Linked DNA regions of Drosophila melanogaster. The protein of the gene in region 1 interacts with the protein of each later gene in a pairwise test. Each region holds a gene or a part of one and is shown in the gene's direction. Other genes may lie near its edges.

What was found. The genes of interacting proteins can lie anywhere in the genome.
Region 2: the proteins of CG11350 (region 1) and CG8854 interact in a two-hybrid assay, tested with the Drosophila melanogaster proteins (one large-scale study listed by BioGRID).

What each region holds. Positions count from the first base shown.
Region 1 is NT_037436.4:4,479,106-4,486,350, forward strand, and holds CG11350 (uncharacterized protein), read left to right. Parts: upstream 1-3,703; 5' UTR 3,704-3,738; coding exon 3,739-3,741; intron 3,742-3,806; coding exon 3,807-5,174; 3' UTR 5,175-5,265; downstream 5,266-7,245. Other genes in the region: CG7465 (uncharacterized protein), read left to right, coding at 1,226-1,228, 1,308-2,270; CG13722 (uncharacterized protein), read right to left, coding at 6,304-7,245.
Region 2 is NT_033778.4:12,221,757-12,232,187, reverse strand, and holds CG8854 (uncharacterized protein), read left to right. Parts: upstream 1-2,877; 5' UTR 2,878-3,080; intron 3,081-5,341; exon of another isoform or gene 5,342-5,843; 5' UTR 5,844-5,844; coding exon 5,845-6,484; intron 6,485-6,943; coding exon 6,944-7,482; 3' UTR 7,483-7,727; downstream 7,728-10,431.

The sequences.
Region 1 (7,245 bases):
ATTCGGACATCCCTTGCATGTCCATGTTTAATTTTGGAAACAATTGGTGAGAGGTTTTTAACCAGAAGTGACACAAAAAATCACTTGCAGATTAAATGTCACATCTGGATGATATTGAAAAATGCTTAAGCTGGGATTAAGTGTGCTGTGTCAACCAAATTGGTCGATTAATAATTATAAGAAAACATGTTTTTAAAAGTAAGCTGTACCTATTACGATTTCAAATCAATGTTTTATTAAAACTTAAATTTTATTTTTAAATAACAATTATATATTTTAGACATATCCATACTGTTGTCTTTTTTAATGTCAATAAATATTATTAGCCATTTCAAACTTAGTAATTGATAAGCGCGCATCCGCACAAAGCGGATTGTTCTTAGAATTCACAATGGGATCTTCTGAAGATCTCGTCATCCTATATCCGGCATTCGGTTTACAAACTTATACAATTCGTACGCATCAGGCATAATTATATCATATTTCCAAAAATTGAATGGCTCGCTTGGTCAGTTCCTATTTGTTGATTAATGAACGGCGAACGACATCGCCACAATGGGAAGAGGCTGCGATCGAAATAATCGACTTTTTGAGTGGCGATTCGGAAAGCTATTGAAGTGAGCGAATTTGATTGAAACATATAACTCATCATTTGAATTTATATCGAGCGCAATTCCAATAGCGGCTTGAATGAAACCAGGCAGGTGGAGCGAACACAAAGAGGTGTAAACAAGACGAGAGCCAAGTTAATACGGATATATGTATATGTTTATATATATTTGTATGTGAGTATCTTTGCGCGCTCGACTTGTCCAAAACGTTGATGTCCATCAAATCTTTTGCATATGATTAAATAAAACAATTAAGAGAATCCGTGCGAACGATTTTGGCCATTAAACATTTTTTTTTTAGCCATCAACTGCTCCGAAGCTATAGCTTGTGCGAATGTAAGCGTCGCAGTCGCCGTCTATCGTGTTGGCCAAGCTGCGTTTGAGCCGCAAAAGAGCGGCTTAGAACCCGTAGCTTAGCCAAACCAAAGCCGAAGTCGTGCGAATTTACAGACGCTTGCGCCGGCAGCGACGTCTTTTTGGGCAGAGGCGCAAAAAACGCCAGCTCTGTAATAGCCAGCGAAGAGCGGAGAATCTGTATAAATACCAAAAGGTTCTGCGTATTCCTCATTAGAGTTTCGGTTTTACTGCTGTGAACAAGCAACTCATCGGACAATATGGTACGATTCGACAATTTAGGAGCCATCGAATCGCCACTGAAGGACTAAACTAAACAAATTTCCCAACTGTCTCTTGCAGAAACTCTTCCTGGTCGCTTTTGCCGTGATCGCAGCCGTGGCTGCCGATGTCAGCCACCTGCCCTCCAACGAGTACCTGCCTCCCGTCCAGGAGCAGCAGATCATCGCCGGACCCAGCAACGAGTACCTGCCTCCCGTGCAGGCCGAGTCTGCCCCCGCCCATGAGCTGGCCGATGATGGCTACCGGTACAAGACCCACAAGCGCGTGGTGGTCCGCCGCCACCGCCGTGACGTCAACGAGCTCTTCAACGAGTACCTGCCCCCCTTCGCAGCTCCTTCCAACGAGTACCTGGCTCCTGCTGAGGGTGCTCCTGAGACCATCTTGGCCGATGATGGATACCGTTACAAGACCCACAAGCGCGTGGTAACCCGCCGTCACCGTCGTGATGTGAGCCACTTGCCCTCCAACGAGTACCTGCCCCCAGTCCAGGCTGCTGCTCCTTCCAACGAGTATCTGCCCCCAGTGTCCGCCCCCGTCCAGGTTGCTGCCCCAGCTCCCGCTCCAGTTCAGATCGCCGCCCCTGTCCAGCTGGCCGCCCCCGCTCCTGTCGTGGTTGAGGCTGAGCCCGCCCATGAGCTGGCCGATGACGGTTACCGTTACAAGACCCATCGTCGCGTTGTTTACCGCCGCCACCGCCGTGACGTCAACGAGCTCTCCAACGAGTACCTGCCCCCCTTCGCAGCTCCTTCCAACGAGTACCTGGCTCCCGCTGAGACTGCTCCTGAGACCGACTTGGCCGTTGATGGATACCGCTACAAGACCCACAAGCGCGTGGTAACCCGCCGTCACCGTCGTGATGTGAACGAGCTCTCCAACGAGTACTTGCCTCCCGTGCAGTCTGCTCCCTCTGCCGAGTACCTTGCCCCCCAGGAAAACACCGTCGAGGCGGCTCCCGCCCATGTCCTGGCTGATGATGGATACGTCTACAAGACCCACAAGCGCGTTGTGTTGCGCCGCCACTAAATCATCCGATAAAGGCTTCACTAGGTGATCGAATTGTGCTCATTTTTGAGTGCAGACCCTACTATTAGAATACCTCTTTTTCATTCAAATACAATAATACGATAACGAATCCATACATTCAGCTCTTTTTAATTTTATTATGTTGGGTGTACGAGCTGGGTGATAAAAGGTTATATGTATAGAATTGACTGAAGGAGGAATATATTCGGATAAAACATAAATCTTTGCGGATAATATATAAACCAGAGAATAATAAAAAACGACAAAGTTTTTAAACATGTATTAACCTATTTAAAAATAATAATTTAATGTAATAATATAAAAAGGTTTTAGGGCTAGAATATATTCATTATTTCACGATCTAATTATACACATAAGAACGTGGGATTAGAGAAGCAATATACACTTGACACATAATCGAAATTGAAATCTATTTATGCCGAAGCTTCCGCAATCTCATCTTCAAAAAGTTCAAGCCTGCTTAACGCTTTTAGACCATTTACCTACAAAAGTAAGGGTATGTTAACTTTCTTGGATGGTGTGTCTTTTTAATATGCCGTTATTAATTTAATAGGTTTTTATGACCTAAACGCTTATGTAATTTATTAAAATGTTATTTTATAGTGGATATATTATTTATATACGATTTGCAATTAAATATAGAAACGTTTTGTTAGCAGAATCTAGTTCGAGGAATAGAATTAATTACCCCGTTTTATTAATGTTTTCCTTCGACTCTTCATAAAAGGTAATTTTTCCAAAAGTGTATTCAGTTCATTTTGTTCAGGTTTTCTTTCAGCCGGTGATATACAATCGCTTTCGACAGTCACATCTATGTATTGTTTCGGCATTGAGGTCGTGATTTATTTCCGCAATTTGATTGCTTTTTCGGCAGTCATTTCGCTTCTTACCAACTGTTTTTAGCCTTTTCTCCGCTCCGCTATCGAACATCTGCTTTTATTACCCGAAGTCATAGAACCCGATTAGTACCAGTTGATTAAGCCACAATATAATTATCGACAATTAAGCAAATTGAGCTGGGGTGGGTCGGAATTGGGAATCGAAATTGGCACGCGTTTGGTCTGGGAGAAATTGGCAAGTGCGGATAGGGGAACAATGGAACCTGATCTTGGCCACTAAGTATTAACGAAATATACTTAAAATATTAAGTGGCCGTTTGGATGATTTGGCGGTTAGGCCGGGGGTGAAAGGGGGACTCCCAAATCGTGGCTCATGATCTCGCTGGAGTTGAGCAGAGCGCAAAACCCGTTGCAAACCTGCTTGCAAAACTATAATGGATATGTTTTGGCGGTGTCACTAAATACAAATTCATAAATTAAATAGTCAAATGCAAATTTCTCGCCGCAGGCCGGTGATTAGAATCATATAAATAAGCCGCAGAACATTGTCTAAGGCATCACTTCCACTTGCACTCTCCGTTCAACTGGACAGCCGAGCACCCAGCAAAATGGTATTAACCAGGAACGGTGCGCCATTAGGATAATCAGCTAATATGTGCCATTTTCTCCATTGCAGAAATTCTTCTTGTTCTGCGCCTTCATCGCCGCCGTGGCCGCTGATGTCAGCCACCTGCCATCTAGCCAGTACCTGCCCCCCGGCCGTGGAGCAGCATCGGCTCCCGTGGCTTCCTACTCTGCTCCTTCCCAGAGCTACAGCGTAGAGGCCTCGGCCCCAGTTGCCTCCTACTCTGCTCCCGTTGAGTCCAGCTACTCCGTTGCTGCTTCTGCTCCAGCGGTGTCTTATGCTGCTCCAGCTGTGTCCTACGCCGCTCCCGCCCAGAGCTACTCTGCTCCTGCTGCCACCTACACTGCTGCTGCTTCTGCCCCAGCTGTGTCCTACGCCGCTCCTGCCCAAAGCTACTCTGCTCCTGCTGCCACCTACACTGCTGCTGCTTCTGCCCCAGCTGTGTCCTACGCCGCTCCTGCCCAGAGCTACTCTGCTCCTGCTGCCACCTACACTGCTGCTGCTTCTGCCCCAGCTGTGACCTACGCTGCTCCTGCTCAGACCTACACCGCTGCCGCTTCCGCCCCAGCTGTGTCCTACTCCGCTCCCGCTGAGTCTTACGAGACCGCTGCCTCTGAGCCCGCCCACACCTTCTCGGCCAACGATGGATACCGCTACAAGACCCACAAGCGCGTGGTCCTTCGCCGTCATCGTCGTGGCGTGCCCTCCAACGACTACCTGCCCCCCTTCCAGGGAGCCGCTTCTGCCCCAACCAGTGAGTACCTGCCCCCAGCAGCTTCCGCCCCCGCTCCAGTCTACCAGAGCGCTGCCTCTGCCCCAGCTGTGTCCTACGCCGCTCCCGCCCAGACCTATTCCGCACCTGCTGTCTCCTACGCCGAGCCCGCCGAGAGCTACGAAACCGCTGCTTCTGCTCCTGCCCACTCCTTCTCCTCCAACGATGGATACCGCTACAAGACCCACAAGCGTGTGGTGCTCCGCCGTCACCGTCGTGATGTGAGCCACCTGCCTTCCAACGATTACCTGCCTCCAGCAGCCTCTGCCCCAGCTCCAGTGTACTCCGCCCCCGCTCAGAGCTACTCTGCTCCCGCTGCCACCTACACCGCTGCTGCCTCCGCCCCAGCTGTGTCCTACGCCGCACCTGCCCAGAGCTACTCTGCTCCTGCTGCCACCTACACCGCTGCTGCTTCCGCTCCAGCTGTCTCCTACTCTGCTCCCTCTCAGAGCTACTCTGCTCCCGAGTACTACAGCGGTGCCGCTTCCGCCCCAGCTGTCTCCTACTCCGCCCCAGCTGCTTCCTACTCTGCCCCAGCTGAGAGCTACGAGACCGCCGCCTCTGAGCCCGCCCACTCCTTCTCCTCCAACGATGGATACCGCTACAAGACCCAGCGTCGCGTGGTCCTCCGCCGTCACCGTTACTAGAGGCTCCAACGAACCCCCAGCGAACCGAGCCAAATCCTGTTATTTGACTCACGGGTTTCATCTGGGAAACGAAATTAATAAATTCATAAATAAAAAAAATATTGAAAAATACTTCCACTGCCTGATTAATTAATCGACTAACAGGAAACCCCATTGACGGGAGCCCCCTTATTTGCCTAACAATAATATTGCATAATAGAATAAGAAGTTTTGGCCACTAAAGCCAATGATTATCAGGCATTAATACCGAGCTGTCGTCAAGCGGAGACGATACAGCAACTGAAAAAACTAGTTCAAATCGAGATGCGGAAACTCGTTTAATGCTTCGAAATTAATTTTTTGTTCAGCAAGTGCATTGTCATCTGAAGCTTCAAGTTCAAAGTCAACCATAAGAAAATTCGAGGCATACTTTTTGGCCTTTGTAAGATTTATATGGATGTAGTAAGCATATAGTAAGTGTATATTTATGTAGTAAGTCCCTCGCGGCAGACTACAGAGTTAAAAAAAACCCAGTGAATTATGGATCTATTTTGTAAGGCAGACTTATTAAAAAATTTATCTTAGTAATATAAAAAGCCTCAATGTATAGCATTATATCCGTATCACAGAAAGACTTTTGTTATTCCGGCTAAAAAATAGCAGGTTGAATGATTCCAATGCTATCGCGTTACCGAAGTTTGAGCAGAATTATTAATTTCTTGTTGCCCAAATGTACTCTACTTTTCGGCAAGCCAGCACTATAAACTGCGATGTCTAAAAGTATGTGATTCGACCGAATTTTTAGTTTATTCTAGATGGGATCTGCTGTTTCACTCTAAGACTAGACGTCTTACCCTTCGACACACTGAAAGAAAACAGTAAGAACATAACATTCACATTGTCATTTTTAATTCGGCAGCATTGCGTAATCGTTAAAACATAAGTTTTAAAAACATATTTTAATGACTAAGTTCGATTGGAGATTCCGCAGGCAAGATCCCCGGTAAATCATTAATAATAGTTATTAAATAAAATATTACAGTAGACTACAATTATTCAATTTCGTACGTTCCTAAGGATCACTATGCGCACACAGAGGCAATTGTGTCATTTAATCAGTGATGAGAGGGCCAATCGACGGATGAGTTATTCAAAAGTCGAATGCGATGGCCGGCTTCGGGTAGGAATAGCCCGCCGACTTGGGAGCGGGTGGGGGAAATGGAATGACTGGCTTAGGGTAGTCGTAACCCTGCTTCACCTGAGGGGGTGGAAGGTACTTGGGAGTGGGCGGGCTGGTTGGCACAACGGGTGGAATGTACTTCTGGGGGGGATTCGTGGGTGGGGGGAATGGAATGGCGGGCTTGGGATAGTCATAGCCCTGCTTAACTTGAGGTGGAGGAAGGTACTTGGATGTGGGAGGAGGTGGAGGTGGTGCTTGTGTTGTGGTCACTGGTGGCAAGTACTTCTGCGGTGGGGCAGTGGGTGGCGGGAATGGAATGGCGGGCTTGGGATAGTCATAGCCCTGCTTAACTTGAGGTGGAGGAAGGTACTTGGATGTGGGAGGAGGTGGAGGTGGTGCTTGTGTTGTGGTCACTGGTGGCAAGTACTTCTGCGGTGGGGCAGTGGGTGGCGGGAATGGAATGGCGGGCTTGGGATAGTCGTAACCCTGCTTCACCTGCACCGGAGGCAAGTACTGGGGCGTTGGTGGGTTTGTAGGTGGCAGATATTTTGGTACTGGTGGTGAAGTGGGAATTACCGGTGGTGGCAGGTACTTTTGAGGTGGGTTAGTAGGTGCTGGGAATGGAATGGCGGGCTTCGGGTAATCATAGCCTGACTTAGGCTGTGGGGGTGGCAGATACTTCGGCTGCGGTGGGTTTGTTGGCTTAGGAGGTGGCAAGTACTTGGGCTGTGGTGGAGACGTGGGCACAACAGGTGGCAAGTATTTCTGTGGTGGGTTTGTTGGTGGTGGGAATGGAATGGCGGGTTTTGGGTAATCATAGCCGGACTTAGGCTGTGGGGGTGGCAGATACTTGGGCTGCGGTGGGTTTGTTGGCTTTGGAGGTGGCAAGTACTTCGGCTGTGGTGGAGTCGT
Region 2 (10,431 bases), on another chromosome or scaffold:
GAGAACAAATATTGCCAACTGATAATAAATCAAAATAATTGTAAAATTATGAAATATTAACTGTGTCAAATATAAACACGTTTTAATTTGGTTAAAACGCATTGCTATGTTTTTTTTTTTTTGAAGGAAATGAATGTAATCCTCAATTTTATCTTTTACAGCTTAGTAGATTTGATGAGCTGAACAAATTTATGAAATTCTTTTGGGCTCTCATATTTCGGCTTAAATGATTAATTTACGTTTGAATAATTCACTTAAAGATGGATGTTGGGAAAGGGCTTCTTACATACTGCCAATTGTACCGAGTTTGGAAAAGGAACCACAAAAAAGCGTTTTGCTGACACACCAAATGGGAAGCACACAATTACCGGCCATATTTCTTCCCTGTGTTTCTCTGCCATTCGGTCGCTTTCCTTTTGTGGGCCGAACACGTGCAAAATGTCCAACACGGTGGCCAAATGGGGCCAGAGTAGCAAAAACGCCATAAATGCCCAGGTCCACTTACAATTATTGCCCCAATGGAGGGAGTCGTCGGTGAGTTGCAAAAAAAAAGAAAGAAAAAAAAACAAAAAAGGCCGCTGCCACAGAGGCTGCCCCAGCTATGAAAAATCGAAAGTGGCAAGCCGAGTGACAAGCGTAGAGCACAGCGGTAAAAAGAGTCATGTGCTATAGGCTATAGCCATTCGATTCGATTCGGTTTAGATTCGGATTTGGATTGGTAGATAGGTATAGAGGTATTGGTACTGGTACTGCGACTGGTATTGGGCTTGGGTGCAGCGCAATCTGCGACTCAGCATCTGTAATGCTCGCTGCAGCTGTTGCCAATTCACATTGGTTGTGGTAATCGTAATAACCAAAAGAAACTGAAGAAATCATAAAACGTTGAAAGATGCATAGTATCACTCACTTATAAGTGTAAGGAATTCAAAGAATTAAGCTATATTACATGTAAATAGTTCTTCATTACTCATGCAAGATGTTTTCATATCTTTAGGATACATAGTATATCTTTTTTTGATGGCAAGCTCTATGGCAGTACAATTCGATATGAGGCCTACAATATCGATTGAAATCAGATATATGTACTCCTCAATCATTGATGTTACTACTTGTGCAATATTGTTGCCAATATGAAATAGCTTTGCAGTTTTTCCTTGCCATCACTAAGAGCATGTTGCAATGTCGCCGGTGCGAAGTATCTGATAGATAGATACCGACCGAAAGAGCCGAGCAAACACACACACATACGTATTGGAATTGGAGCAGAGATCAACGAGTCTGCCGCCAGTCAAAGGCAAACATCTGGTTGCGGCACCGCTCCCTTACCACCCCCTTACCATTACCGGAAAATGCATCACCACCGCCCCCCGCTGGGTGGCCAGGTGCAGCCGGTTTCCTGTGCGTTGGCAACGTGTGCTGCCCAAGTCCCAAAACGACGTTCGCCATTAAAAGCGGCAAATTGCTCTGGCTCCAGAGCCTCTGAATGGGTCCAAATAGTGCATATGTACCTATATTGGGGTTGGGATTCTACGGCAAGGAATGTAGGCCTGATGAACTGCAGGCTGGCTAAATGAACTCAATGGATGGATGGATGCCCGGTGAAGGCAACAATTTTCGAAGCTCTCGTGACCAGAAATCCAAATAACATTCGAAAGCTGAATGGCATGAGCTTGCAAGACATTTATAGATATATTTCTAAAGATATATATGTATATAAATACTAACATATGATAGGAATTTATATTTTTAAATAATTTAAGAAGCATAACATCTGCGGTCGCTGAGATTTCGCAAATCCTTTAAAATTCCCCAAACAATTATTTGTTAATTGCCTGCTTTTTTATCTGGTGACACATCTGACCACAAAGTGTGGCCCACTTGAGCTGGCTTAATTGAATTGCTTTTGGTTTGGTCTATGGGCCATCAATTGATTGTTTGCACTCGACACTCACCGCAATAGGAAATAATAACTGACCTGACTGAATAAACACCATAAATATCGGCACGACTTTGGGGATACCACACAAAAAACCAACCGCCACCGCACTGAAAGTGAAAGCTTTTTTTAAGGTTTTTTCAAACAATTAATTTTATAAATACCTTTTGGTAGCTAACAAAAAAAACTGCATAAATTATTTGGGCTTTAGCTGCTGGAGATGGGAAAAGTCTCGAATGAGAAATGATGCTCATCACCTGTTTTCTTTTGATGAATTCAAAGGCGGCGCACATTGCCCCACCCGAATGTCGGTTCAAGTTGAAGTTGAAGTTGAAGTGATGCAATTTCTCTCAGCAGCGATTTCAATTTCTTTCCGCAAGTGAAAAAGACTTGAACTTGGCAGCTGCTTTTTTTTTTAAACCACTTACTCTAGCAACGGCTATGGTCACTATGCGGTTAAGTTGAATGAGTTTCGAAAATGGGTGTAATATATGTTGGGTATGAATCAGCTTCTTTTCCTAAATGATGACAGTTCAAATTACAATTTCTACTTTTTAACTGAGTTTTTAGATACATTTCTTTAGAGCAACTTCAATTCGTTGTGTAATGAAGCCCAGTTTTGCTTACATATCTATGGCATTTCCCTGGCGCAGCCGCATTTCAACGACTCTCAAATTTGCATATCAATGTGACTTTGAGTAGCTCTGCGACTGTGACATAACCACCTGCTGTCATTTTAATTTACTGCTAATTAATTTACAGGCCGGCCGAAATTACATCTAGCCAAAGACATAAAGACTGAATGGGATCTCTGATTAATTTTGATGGAAATTGGCAAGCGAACATGTGAGGTGAGCTCAGACCGAGGATCAAACCCGTTCGAACATGCTGGCAGAGAAGCGCCAAAGACTTGTAACTTGGCTCAAACCGTTGGCCAAAACAGTTGAGCGCCGGTCGAAGAAGCGAACACAACGCGGTTGCGCATGCGCGTAGATCATGTGCCGATCGGACGTGTTTGAAATTTACAATTCACAAATTGGCTAAAAGAGCGTTCTATAACCATAAAAGTGCTCTGTGACAAGTGACCGACGGCATAAAACAAATTCAAATTTATAACCAACACCAAAACCAAATAAATAACAAGGTGAATGAAACTGCCCAGAAAACTGTGTCAAAAGCAAAGAAAGTTGCTATTTTTTTAGTGTGGGCAGGCTGCCAAGTATCTTTTTAGGTGTATCTTCAGCTCCGTCTGATGTTCGTTTTCAATCTTTTGCGGGCTTGTCGAGATTGAGTGATCATCTGCGTGGGTCTGTGCCACATAAATTCGAATGCATCTCAGGTGTAATGTAATGATCACCATTTTAGGGCACTACGCCCAGGTATGCGAGAGAACTGTTCTTCTCAGGTGATTCATGATAAAAACTTCTGCTCGTCTCGCATACTTTTTTCAAAGGTGCGGCAGAAGATGTGACTTTTTAAATTCATTTTACCCTGCTCTCGATTGGTTTGATGTAAATCCACAATTGGGCATGATATCACTCGAATAAATATTTATATATTTGAATACTTAGCAAGGTCGATTGGCATTTGGCAAACGTGTTTCCAGTTATTTTGCATTATAATCCGATGTCGAAATATTTACCTTACCTTTGCATAATTTGTGCTGAATGAGACATGGACAGGTTGTTAATTATTACCTTAATTGAAATATTCGGAGAAAACCAAAGTCAATCGAATAATATTATGGAGGTGGGCAAAATTTTGAGTAGTAAAATATAAATAGTGGAATATCTTACCAGTTAATATTTATAAAGAGTGTTTGTGGTTGCTACCTACAAACCTACATTTATCTTAAATAAGTTTATTTTTAGTATACTTAAATTTAATCTTTATTTAAATATCCCATTACGGTCATCCGTCTTAATAGCATTTAATAGCCCGGATTTGCACAAATATTGATAGTTGTCTTTTATTTTAAGCCTAACTCAGGTGGCCAAAACCACTATCAATCACCAAACACGCTAACAAGCCCGACTGATTACACAAAGTAACTCGACGCGAACTTGTCACATTTGATATGCAAATGGCCAGAAGCCAAAGTCAAAGCGGCACTTTACGCTGAAATGAATCTGAATCCGAAATTGAATCTGTATCTGAGGTTGACCGGGGCAATCAGCCAACCGCAGTGAAGGAGTGGAAGTGCCGTCCGAAGATGCCAATTAATTAACAGGGTCTTAGGGGTTTTAAGTGGTTCCATATCCACGAATGTGTTTGCATATTCAACTCTAATTGCGTCTAAACACTGCGCATGCAATTAACTTTTCACGGTAAAGGGCCACGTGGCGCATACGTAATGCGATTTTCACCCACCAAGAACATTTATTATTCTTATCAATTTATTCATCAGTTATCTAGAATAATAACTGGAATATCAAGTATAGAGTGCAGAATTTGTATGCCTACATTGTTTGTTTTGGATTGACTACATTTTGGAGTTCCTTTAAATAATAAATAGCTTAAAAAACAAGCCCTAAACCATTTTCACTCGCGTGCAAATCACTGAAAGTGCATTCAGATGGGCTTCTGTGTGCATATTTTGTTTTGTTTGGATATATGCCATAAAAAGTTTATAGACCCTGAAAGATACACAGATAAACGATTTCATTTGCGTGTCACAGCCAAGTCACGTTGTTTTATTTTTTTTTCGCGGTACAGTTTGTGTATTTTATAAAAAATATATTCCCATCGGAAACCTTTTTTCTTGATCAGGCCATACAAATGTTAATCGATAACCGAAGAGATTAAAACAAACCAGGCAAAAACAAAACCAACTCAACATTTTTATGCAAATGCACAAATCACAAATGCCTCGAAAAGATTGCGCAAAACCCTTTTTTGAAATGGGCGTTTTATATTGTAGAAATAATTAAGGGGAAAACCCCGGAGAAAACCAAAAGCCTATGTAAAATATCAGCCGAAAAATTTGCCTAAAAATTTAATTTAATATTTTTTAAGGTATTTTTTTTAACTTTGCGGAAACAGATGCATTAATATTAATATTTTCTGTGCCCATTCATGCTTTTCATTCAGATTTCGGTAGAGATTTAATCGAATGAAAGAAATGTGAACCGTTTTTCGCTTATTACATGTTGATATTGTCTTTTATGTTAAATAAACTCTGAAATGAATATGCAGTTAAAAAAAAACTGAACGTTTTTCATTTATTTAGTTTTACAATGGAAAACTCGGTGTATTTTAATTCCATTTCGATGGCACTGCAACTGACAAGCCTGATCGAAAATCTAGTTAACCTTCTCGACAAAATGGAAATTTGTGTATTTTTTGCATGGCACTTATTCCACTTGATTTTGTATCGCATATTTTTATAAATTTATACAGTTGCCGACGGGCTCCATTTCAGATTTTAATTAAATAGTTTTTTGTTTTTTTAATGAAATTTGATAAGTAAAGCAATTTGTTTTCGATGCCCGAAACGGGTGGATGGGTTTTTTGTTAGTTTTCCTTTGACGTAAACCAGTCTGTTGGCTAATGGAATATCTCGGCTTATTGGCAATTGGAATGCCAATTGATTGGCCATGCTAAGTTATGCAGATCCATAAACCGGCTAATGGTTGCAATCTGAAGTCGTGAAGTGTAACACCTGCAAAAGATATAGCCAAGCCGGTGTGCAATTTTAAGCCGGCATTAATGCCGCGGAAAATTCGCGGCCAACGCCGAAGAACGGGTTCGATTCGTTGACGGAAGAGTTTTCAGTATTGGCCACAAAGTGCGTTGCGTAAGCAACCAGTTGATGCACTTGCTCATGGCTTTCCCACACCACGCGCACCATCTCCGCATTTTCCCAACCAATATTTATGTATTTTTTCTTTGCCTTTTTTTCTTACAGCATGCGTGAACGCAGTCAAACGACCCCAAGAAGGCGACGAGCCGGTCCAAAACAGGCCTTACCTGGTGGCAGCTCCTCGGAGGGAGTGGGCGCCCTGGAATCCCCCTATTATACCATTGACAACACGGAGGATATATATGGCACCACGCTGCTGCCCTCGCAGCGCTGCTATGTGGATCCCTGGGATCTGGAGAACTATGATTATGTTCGCAAGAAGATCGATGATGTCACCGGTGGCGGTGGTGGTGATGGTGATGGTGAGGCAATTGAACCTGCCTACGGAGGTGGTGGCAACTCGCTGACGACCAGTCCCACATACGGATACGGAGTGGGTGCCGCCGGTGCGGGTATGGGTGTGGGCATGTCGGCCACAATGCCACGCCCCCACACCCAAAGTCGCCGGGTGTCGCGTGCCCAGTGCCAACTTGAGTGCTGTGTGCCCCAAAGGACTCGTCGCCGTAGCCGCAGCGCTCGCAAGGAGCCACTCTATACGGCCAGGAGCGATATTTACGGTGTGCCCAGCCGCTATGAGGACTACATGGCCACCATGACCAGGCAGTTGCACCTGGACAACGGCGAGGATGAGGAGCCGGAAGATCTTTACGGCGAGGAGCAGCGGCAACTGTACAATGGCTTTGGAGGTGAGTGAAAAACGCAAATAGCAAATGCAAATTCGAAACCCCTTTAAAACTAGATTTTAATTTAAAATTCCTTTTGTTTCGTAATAACCAATTTATTTAGTTAGCTTTGTATGCAAATCACACAAATGCATTTAGATTTCATTTTCGATTCCATTTGATTGTTACAATTTACGCAGTGCGTCTTTTATGGCAATTCGATTAACGTTTAATTGCAAATCTCTGGCAAAATCATTGATTTTTGAGCTTGACTAATGAAATTTGATTTTCTGTACTTGGGGATCATTAATTACTTAGTATTTGTTATATATTTTGATTACTAATCCTTTTCAAACTATATGTAAGTATAAATGTTTTATTGATTTTAAACCCATCGAGTGCTTAAATATAAATGTAGCTGTTGTAAAATACCAAATGATTTTGATAGCTTTCACTAATGCCGTGTAATCTCACACGTTTCAGGCTTCTCCAGCACCAGTTCCACGGAGCATCCCTCCTCCATTGGCGATGAGCAGCCCGTTCTCCAACGACGCGCGGCCACGATGCAACGCCGCTCCGTGCCCAGCGAGATGCAGCGGAGCACCAACATGGTCGGCAGCTATGGAACTGCCCCCCATCCGCGGCGCAAGCGAAGCGGTAAGGCGGCGCCCATGGCCGCTCCGCCGCAGATCGATTTCCCCGCACCGCCGCCACTTTCGCCCGCCTACGACTACTGTAATCCCTATGCTTCACTGCCGTACTGCAGCATACCGGATTGCAGCGAATGCCAGCAGCAGATCTATGCCGCACCCTCCGCCCTCTACGGAACCATGGGCGGCTTGGTGGGTGGTGATGGCAGTCGGGTTAGGGGCTCATCGCCCCATCATTCCAGCGGTGGTGACTCGTCGCTCTACTCGGGAATTTACGCACGTAAATTCGGACTGAGCAAGAAGGGTCTACTGCAGATCGACTACTCATGCAGTTGGAACGATCTGGACAGGGTGATGCAGCGCCATTACTGAGATCCATGGGGCCGCATCCACGTGGATCTGGGATTTGGGTGCTTGGGTTAGGCTAACTACCAACACGTTTGCACCAATCGCGAACAGAAACCTTATTGTTATTTAAGTCATTTTGCATTACAGATACAAACACAAACACATACACACACACACACTGAAGACCAAATAACTGAAACATGTTTGTCGTAGATATATAGTGTTTTCATATTCATATTTACCGAATAAACATTTTGAAGTCAAGCATTAAGGATTTGTAGTTATTATTAAAACTTTCAAGGTATGAAAGTTTAAACTTGGCTATATGGAGAAGAGCTAATAGTTCTCAATAAAACTTAAAAGTAGAGTAAGACTGAACATAAGATAGTTTCTTTATTTCTTATAATTATAGATTTGTTCATAATATTAGCAAAGTTGAAGTCACTAATTAGGCAAAGCATTCAGAAACAAATAACTTGACTTGGTGACAAAGAAAAGTTCCTCTTTTTCCACTCTAATTAGTTGTGACGTCACTAGGCGAATGTTTCATGTTTGACAAAATGTTTGCGGGGGGAGAAATGAGAACACGGAAATGGTTTTAGCGCCGGACTTTGATGAATGTTTTGAGAATTGTCAAGCCTAAGTTAGTCGAACAAATGGCAAATGCGGCAGGTGTACGAACGAAATGGGAAATAAGTGACAGCAGGAAAGTTTTTAAAGCACACCTTTCGGTGTTGAATGGTGGAAAAATCCATTAAACTTTTCGCCAGCAAAGTGGGAAATGCAACTTCAGCTCGATTATCTCGGCCGGAGGTGCACAAATACATGGAGAGCGACCTGTTCAAAAGGGAAAATCAATAAGGTAAATAAAACGGAAAAGATTTTCCTCTATCTCCTTTGCTCTTGCCCCCTATTTCTCGCCATCCGCCCGCCTGCCCCCTTTGCCGCTGAATGCGATTTCAATTTCTCAATCCAATTTACCTTTGCAACACTGTATACACATCAGTACACAGACAAAAAATTTGTGTTGAAATGTATTTCAACTATAAAAAAGCAAAAAAAGGCAATATAAAACTTTAAAATCGTGTCATATTTTAAACATAACCATTAGAAAAATTTCCAAAAAAAACCTTTTTAAAATTTGATGGCAATTTGATATTTAAAAATATAAAGTATTATTATATATATAATATATTTTGGTTAATGCACATGCAAACCAGTAGTTCCTACGGAATTTTAAATAAAACAAAAGCAAATTTAAAAGCCGACTTTTTGTTTTCAGTGTAGCAATTTCAATACCAACACAAACACAAATACGAACCAAAGTACAAACACAAAGCACAAGTAAATCATAAAAAGCAGCAACAACAAGCATCTGCAAAGCGAAAATCTGAATGCACAAAAAGAAATGGGGGGTGGTGAAATGTTCCAAGTCGGATGGAAAAAAGAGACATAAAAAATGAGGAGCTAAGGTTTTTGCTATGCACATAAAAGCGCAAATATTTGCGCAACATTTTCGTCGTCGTCGTCGGCGATAAAAATCGAACAAGAAAAATATGCAAAAAGCTGAACAAGCCGGCGGGGAAATAAAAACGTCGCAGAAATAAGCCGAAGAATATAAAAAATATATATATGTATGTGTATATTAGTGTGGGTCCCTCTTTTTTACCGGGGATTTGCCTTTATTATTGTATAACGTCAAACATTTGCATGCGGCGACGCCTAAATGTATGCCACACTTTGTTCACCAGCTGCCACACCCCGTCGAAACCACCCCCCCCCCCTTGATCATCTTGCCCCCCACGACCACTTTTTGCCACTTTTTGCATTTGCATTTATGTGCGGCGCCAATTCGAGCTGCCACGCCTCCGGCCTGCGCCTGCCTACCCCTGACTGCCCCGCCAAACAAATGCAAATCGCAGCGAAAATATTTCGCACTTTCACGAAACTGAGTTGAATACCTGGCCACCAAAGCAACCCACCCACCTGCCAAACCCAAAGCCCCAACTGCGATTCCTATCTCTCTTTCTCTGCGAACGAGTGCTCGAATTTGGCCTGGAAAAGTGCTCCCAATTTGCAAGCCCCTCCCCCTCCCCACCCAATTGGCAACCAAAGAAGATGGAAAGCCCTTTTCCGTTAGGCGTTTTGTCAGGCAATTTGGCAGCGATCTGTGAAGAAATGCCTAATTTTCCATAAATATACAAGAGGTAAAACCATAAAAAAATGCATATTTTAGATAAGAAAACACTTCATTTGCATTTCAAAAATTTTAAAAATTTAAATAAATCAGATAATTGTTAACTTTTTATTAGATAGCTCAATGCGTCTTTTAATCTTCTTGCATTTACATTTAAATGTAATGAAATTCTAGTTTATAAACTTGGTTATTCATTTTGTTATAATTATTTTTTAAGACATTTGTAATATTTAACCCTTCGATATAAATTCAGTATTCCAGAACTGACAATATTGAATTTTTCCACCTTTTTTCCCACCGTTTTTTTTTTTGCTCTTTTTGCACCAGTTTTTCTTTGTTCGCTGAGAACAGCGGAATAGAGATGAAATGTAGAAAATTTGCGATTTTACATTCTATTCTCGCCGGCTGAGTTGAAAAAGGGCCAAATTGTCGGCGACGACAATTGTAAGTCGTTTGCACAAATTGCAAGTTAAATGGATCCTTGCCGGCGGGTCTGCCGCTCCATTTGATGTTGCACGCAAGGATGGCAGGACGACAAGATGGTCGCCTATAATGCGACTGACATGAAATGCAAATGAGCTGAGCGGATCGGGCAGCTGACAATCAGTGAGGAGTATTATCCTTTTTTTTTTTAGAATAGCCAGCAAGCTGCTGGCAACGCAATTCCTTCAAGCATTCAGGTGCGAGAAAAGAGGATTTGGCCAGAGATTATGGATGAGATAGTGCCGGATTCCTATCAATCTAATTTAAAGTTGCTTCAGTTGAAGTTGAACATG